Linked DNA regions of Cricetulus griseus. The protein of the gene in region 1 purifies or fractionates together with the protein of each later gene. This does not show direct contact. Links are inferred from orthologs where the notes say so. Each region holds a gene or a part of one and is shown on either strand. Other genes may lie near its edges.

Region 1 (3,818 bases):
CTGTGTGTGTGTGTGTGTGTGTGTGTGTGTGTGTGTGTGTGTGTGTGCGTGTTTTCTTTACTTTCAAACCTATTCTCTTACTCCCTCTTTCCCATAACAGACAGAAATGCATATAATGTATGGCCTTTTGTGAAAACTGATTGGTATCCATATATTTCACTCTGTAAATAATGTGGTAGTGTTGTGTTCTGATGCTGGCCTTTCATTCAACACTATTCTTTTTGTTTTCTCTCCTGTTGTATGACCTCTGCTTGCTTGCTGTATGAAGCATATGTCCTTAGTGTCTTGCTGGTCTTCTGACTTCACCGAGGAGCCTGGATTGCCTCAGGCTGCCCCTATACAAGAGCCTCCATCTGTCCCCATAAATCTGTGTGAGGGTTGCGTGGAATGTGCTAGGAAGAGAACAGTCATTTGACAGAAGGAGTGGTAACAGGGTTCCAGAATGGCAGAGACTAGCAGAGCTAAGTGAGCATTCCTGCAGCTTCTCTTGCCCTGTGTGATATTTGCCAATAGCCTTTTTTTTTTTTTCCCCGTGGTCCCCTGTTAGATTGCATTTCTAATGACTCAGCTTGACATAGCCTGATAAGCCAGCTGACCTTTTGCATTTCTTTAGAAAATCGCTTTTTCATACCTACCACCTGTTTGTATATCTGGATGCTTCCAGTGGTAGGCAACAGTTCTTTTTCAGGTTTGAAATTTCAGTGTTAGGAATTGTGGCTTCTTATACTCCACTATTTTTCTGGTTACAATCCTTTTCATCAGTGAGAAACTCTTATTTGGTAATGTGTTGCTAAACTCATCAGTATTTTTGTCAAGGTTTGTGATTTGATTGTATCAATAAATCTTCCTCTCATCATGGCCAGATTCTCGTTTTTTGTTGTTTTTCATAATTATGAAGCTTTGTCTTTGGTTTAAGTTTGTAACTCACTTGAGCATTTCAATATATATATATATATATTTTATATTTGGCATTTGGTATTATCTGTAGTTGGTATTGAATATAGAGCACATTGGTTTTAGGTATCACTTTTATAGTGATGAAAGTGTTTGGGGGAAAGGAGAATTCATTGCAGTGTTTTCAAGAAGTTTGGTACTGGGTATGGTAAAGCATGTTTTGAATTTCCAGGTGATTTACTGAGTAACCTGTTGCAGAGTCCTAGTTCAGCCAAACTGCTGCCCCAGCCTATCCCTGTGCTGGATGTGGAGAGTGAGTATGTCTGTTCCCTGGCCTTGGAGTGCCTGGCCCACCTCTTCAGTTGGATTCCTCTGTCTGCCAGCATCACCCCATCCCTCCTCACCACTATCTTCCACTTTGCTCGATTTGGCTGTGATACCCGGGCCAGAAAGATGGCATCAGTGAATGGCAGCAGCCAGAACTGTGTTTTGGGTCAGGAGCGTGGCCGACTTGGGGTCTTGGCCATGTCCTGCATCAATGAACTCATGTCCAAGAACTGTGTGCCTATGGAATTTGAGGAGTACTTATTACGAATGTTCCAGCAAACCTTCTACCTCCTGCAAAAAATCACCAAGGATAACAATGCCCACACGGTGAAGAGCAGGCTAGAGGAGCTCGATGAGAGGTAATGAGAACAGGCGGGAGTCGTGCCCCGAGAAAGGGCCTGGCTGTTTGTCACACCATGTCATTTGGTGTTTGTAACCCCCCTTTGATTTCAGAGTGTGGGGCTACTGATAAAGATAGAAAGGTAGGTGTTCTAAAATGGTGAGGCTGACCTAGAAGGGCTTGGGTGGTTAAGGGAAATGAACTGAGTGTAATAAGTACTAGTGTATTGTGTAGGCCTGTTGTCTCTTTTCCCCATCCACCCACCTCCTGTCCTCCTGTCCATGCTCCTGTCCCTCTTCCTCACTGTCTGCCTGCAGGTCTCATGTGTGCAGGAAGTGAGAGTGCTGCTACTTCATAGTCGAGAACAGAAGCGGTCTGCAGAGGTACAGGGTTACATCACCCTTCTCACTTGGTACTGCTTGTTGGTTTTCACTATTGAACTTTTCCTGAGTGGACATCTTGCAGAGTATAGGAATGCTATTAGTATTATGAGTGACACATAAATGTTAGTATTGTGAGTGTCACATAAATGATAGCAGTTGATCCAAGATAAGAGATATGTTCGGGTAGGTATGATTTAGTGGCACATACTTGCATTGCTTGGCTTCTGCCCTCTTGACCTAAAATTCCCCAGGCCCATTTTTCTTGAGTACAGAAGATGACCTCGGTGAAGTAGGCCAAGTCAAGGTTTCTTTATTACCTTTGCAGGTGACATTATCTGTTTATCTTAGGGCTTTCTGCTTCTCCCCTCCATCCCCAGTGGTGCTAGGGTGGGACCCAGGACCTTGTGCCTGGCAGGCAGGTCATCCTGCCACTGACCACAACCTCGGCCTTCTTTGCTAAACACAACCCTACTACTGCTATATAAAGGTGAAAGGCAACTGGCAGCTTGTAGTTCTGGCAGTCATTGGGCTGTTGAAGCTTCAAAGCAGATGCAGTGCATTATATTAGAAAATAGTTGTAGACTTCCTAGTGCAAAGTGAGATGAGAGCTTAGCTCTTGGCTTTGTTCACAGTAAGTGTGGTAGGCTATGGAGTCAGCTGCCGCAAGTCAGGATAGTTCTACTGCTCTTTTGAAGTGTGGAGCTTGAAGTTTTTCTGGTTAGAAATTGAGTGAAGGTTAGTTTGGTTTGGTTCATTGTAAATAAGCTTTGTGTGACATTTGCCTTTTATAGTCACAAAAGTACTCATAATCTAATAGGATCTTTTCTTAATAAAAATTTTGTTTGTTACATTTATTTATTTTGTGGTTGGGTGGGGGCACATGCCATGTTGTGTGTAAAGGTCAGAATTGCTGGAATTGGTTTTCTTTTCTACTATGTGAGTCCCTGGGATTGCACTTGGATCTTTAGTTTTGGCAGTAAGTGCCTTTATCTGAGCCATCTCTCTACCCCAGGTAGTATTTTCCCCTCATTATGTAGTTGTACCTTCCTATTTGAATTTAAATGTCTCACAATTCACACAATTTCATATCCTTTCTAGCATTGATAAAGAAAGGCCATCTTATCTTCATATGTTAATAAAATGTATATAACTTCTTATATCAACTGTGTTGTTTTGACTTGTCCTGGATCCGAAGTGAAAACTGAGAGGTGCCTCAGAGGAAGCAAAAAGGTGAAAGAACAGTGTGTGCTTGCTTCCTAGCGCCTGACCCCGACTAATTATAAGCCACTTAGTTCATGTCAGTTGTTTAGGAACTGCTTAACCAGGTCCTTGGCTTCTCTTCCTTCACACCCTTTCTAACTGTTTACTGTTCATTAGCATCTGTACCAGGAAGGTGGGCAAGGGGGAAAAATGAGGTGCAGGCACATCTCTAGCTGTACAGTAAGCTTTGTTCTTCTTTGGGTGGTAACCCCCCTCCCCCTCTTTTTGGACAAGGTCTCAGTACTCTGGTTGGCCTGGAATTTGCTGTGTAGCTCAGCCTGCCTAGGCTTGAACTTGTGGCATCCTTCCTAACCTAGCTTTACTGGGTTTCTAGGATTAACAGCATGAGTCCCCATACCTAGCTTGCTTTTTTCAGTGTGGGATGAAGAGTAAAATAGACTCGAGATTGCTGGATACTTTTCTTTAATGGGTAATCAATAAGCTGGCTGGCTGTTGTGTCTGAAGACCCATGTAAAAACCATGGAGCAGTACATATGTTGAGTAGGTGTCCCCAAGTAGTCCCTGGAGATGGCAGAGAGAAGGTGCTTTGTACTTTGCTTTCTCAGAACAACCGGTTAGTCCTGGGCTTGTGGCTCACATTTGAAACCCCCAGC
Region 2 (3,380 bases), on another chromosome or scaffold:
AAACAAAAAAACTCCCAAAACAACAACAACAACAACAAAAAAAACACAACCAAAAAACCAGGCCTGTGGTACACACACACACATTGTAATTCTAGCACTTAAGGGGCAGGATGAGCTCTGTAAATCTGAGTGAGTTCCAGACCAGTTAATGTCTCGATTAACAAAACAGACTTCATACAAGTTTACCAAAAATTTGAGTTTCTTCACTGAAAACAGTAAGATCCTTAAAAACCAGATTGACCCATGTGCTGTTTCTTCCCATTTGTCAGCTATTACTGCAATGTCTGTGACTGTGTGGTGAAGGACTCCATCAACTTCCTGGATCACATTAATGGAAAGAAACGTAAGACTTGGAGGTAGTTCATGACTGGAGCTAGGATTGGGTTTTAAAGGTCTGGTGGAGGGGAAATGTGGTAGAGTGGTTTTCTTAGGCTGTGTGTGTGTGTGTGTGTGTGTGTGTGTGTGTGTGTTTACATATCTGTATTGCTGAGTATGTAACACAGAGGCTAGAGGAGAGGTTAGCTGATAATCTTTGTAGTAAATGCAGCTGAAAATTACGTGCTTATTATCTGGGACTGCCACTTCTGAGAGCAGCTGAGACCCAGAGCCTCTTTCAGTCATAGTTACTTTTGTTGTGTATTTTATTATGTAAAGGTTAAAGGGGGGAAAAAAAAGCCAGGACCAGACTTTTTGAGGGGCTGAGAATTTTATAATGACTGGTTGCCCTCACTATTAACCTCACCCAGATCAGCGAAACCTGGGTATGTCTATGCGCGTGGAACGCTCCACTCTGGATCAGGTAAAGAAGCGTTTTGAGGTCAACAAGAAGAAGATGGAAGAGAAGCAGAAAGATTATGATTTTGAGGAAAGGATGAAGGAACTCAGAGAAGAGGTGAGACTCTCCTGATCCTGCTCCCCACTTTACAGTTTTACCTTGTGAATTGGAGATGGCCCTCTTCCTTGGCTGGCTCCCCAATCTCCAGTCTTGTTCCTGGATTTCTGTGTACTAGGGCATCCTTGTTTGAGGTTCATGAGAAATGGCTCAAAAGCTATCCATTTCTCTTTAGCTTTTTAGACCAGAGTGCTTTGCGATTATTCTTTTGTTTGTTTGTTTGTTTTAGTTTTTGGAGACAGGGTTTCTCAGTGTAGCCCTGGCTATCCTGGAACTCACTTTGTAGACCAGCCTGGCCTCAAACTCACAAAGATCCACCTGCCTCTGCTTCCCAAGTGCTAGGATTAAAGGCCTGTGCCACCACCGCCTGGCTTATTTGGTTTACTTCCCAATGCCATTGTATCCCCATGAATGCACATATAATGTCCCCTGTACTTCTTATTCCTTTTTAAACTATAAGAGGGACTAAATAAATGGAACTAGTCCCTAGTTGGCCTATGGCTCCAGGTTATAGGGTCAGAATCCTTTTTCTTCCATTTGTTTGCATCAATTCTGGGGAAGTTGAATAACCTCAGTGTACTTCATTTTCTGCATGGGAAATCTTTGAATAATATTTACACAGAACTGAGAACAGATCTTAGCATACGCTGCATGCCCCATGATGTTTTCTGGTTAGAACTAGAGATGAACTAGGGTGTATAATTAAACTCCAGAGACTTAATTTCTTCTTATCCCTTAAAATCTTTTCTTACAATCTACCCCCATTGCTGTCCTGGGAATCAGTCTCAGGGGCTCATACAAGCTGAACAAGTGCTTTATCACTGACCTTTTAATCTTTACTTGTGGCTTTTATCGTGCTTAACGATGGAAAAGAATCTTGAAGCTCACATATCTCTTTCAACAATATCAGCTCTGGAATGAACTGATTCTGAGTAATTTTTTCTCCTTTGCCCTTTAGGAGGAAAAGGCTAAAGCATACAAGAAAGAGAAACAGAAGGAGAAGAAAAGGAGGGCGGAGGAGGACTTGACATTTGAGGAGGATGACGAGATGGCAGCTGTGATGGGCTTCTCTGGCTTTGGTTCCACCAAGAAGAGTTACTGAGGCATTCTCTTTGGCCTAACTTTGGCCTATACTGGACCTAACTTTGAGTGTGTGTCGAGGTGGGGTGGGGTGTCATTTCTTTTTTGGTACTGGAGAAAGTCCTTAAGAGTGTTAATGGGCAGGGCTAGAGGGTGGGTTTTTGTGGTTTCCCTCTTCCTTGGGGATGAAGAGGTGATGCTGTGGCAGGTTCCGTCAGCCTCAGTATATTACTGGAGCCACAGAACCTCTGCCCATCTGTGTTCCCAATAAAGAAAGACCTCCCTCTTTGAGGCTGCTTTCCCAACTTCCCCTGCATCTTTCCCTCTTCATCTATCCAGCCTCTTGTCTGAACATCCTCCTTTTCCCTGTGTTCTGCTTTTGTTTTAATCTTTACTCTTGTTCAGCTTGCAACAGAAGGGTTATCTGGGTCTCCAGTATATGGGTGCTGGCCTACCCTTGGTCAGCTCTTCCTCCCACCCCACCCAGCGGCTCTCTAGCCACCTGTGCATGCCTGTGACTTCTGCCTGGGTCAATGTGTGTGTGGGTATGTGTGCATGATACGTCACAAAGAGGGGCCTGAGCTAGAATCTCAGAGCATTGCTGCCCTGGGGCCTAATGTTCTTGGTTTCCTTGGTGCATGTAACAGGAAATTAAATGGGATGAGTGTTTGGTGTTGCTTGTGTCTGGTGAGTTTTTAACCTTGTTTCACTGAGGATTTCTGTTTTTGTCTTCCTCGGGAACAGGTTCTTGGAAGAACCTGTTTGATGCAAAAAAAGAATGAAAACAACAAGACAAAAGAACCCTAAAACCAAACAAACTCTGGGAAACCTTGGTTCTCAGACACTGTTCAACATGTACAATAAATGACACTGACTGGGCCTGTTTCACATTCGTTGGGAACATTTTCATATCATCCCCTTTCCCACAACTTCCTATACTAAGTAAGGATTTCTACATAGAGCCTTTCCCTTTCATTTGAAACCTCTCCCCTCCCCTTCCAGTATAGGTTTCTTCAATGTGGGTTTCCCCCTGTGTTAATAGGATCTGTCCCCTTGACAGTCTGAACAAAACAGTTTGGCCTCCTGTAATTTTAGCATCCTCTGATTCTACCAGAAATGCTCAGGGTTGAACCTAACTGTCTGCAGTTGGGCAGGCGCTGGGTTACTCAGTCTTGGTACTGTTGACGATGAGCAAGGTAAGTCTTTGAGGTTTTTGTTTTGTATTTTTGAGACAGGGTCTTAACTTGTCTGGCCTTGAACTCGGAGATCCACCTACCTCAGCCTGTTCAATGCTGGGATTAAAGGTTTGTGCCTCCATGACTGGCCAGGTCTGTTCTATGTACTGTAGGATGTGGAGCAACATCCCTGGCCTCCACCTAAGTAGATGTCTGTAGCACTCCCTTCCATT

Evidence for each region.
Region 2: the proteins of Xpo6 (region 1) and Zmat2 purify together in Homo sapiens (co-immunoprecipitation; 3 studies listed by BioGRID and IntAct, with this or other methods). This does not show direct contact. The link is inferred for Cricetulus griseus from reciprocal best matches to the Homo sapiens genes XPO6 and ZMAT2.

The regions. Positions count from the first base shown.
Region 1 is NC_048596.1:74,657,541-74,661,358, forward strand, and holds part of Xpo6 (exportin-6), read left to right. Parts: intron 1-1,126; coding exon 1,127-1,580; intron 1,581-3,818. UniProt on the Homo sapiens protein: Mediates the nuclear export of actin and profilin-actin complexes in somatic cells.
Region 2 is NC_048595.1:200,730,843-200,734,222, reverse strand, and holds the end of Zmat2 (zinc finger matrin-type protein 2), read left to right. Parts: intron 1-269; coding exon 270-343; intron 344-746; coding exon 747-892; intron 893-1,850; coding exon 1,851-1,994; 3' UTR 1,995-2,862; downstream 2,863-3,380. UniProt on the Homo sapiens protein: Involved in pre-mRNA splicing as a component of the spliceosome.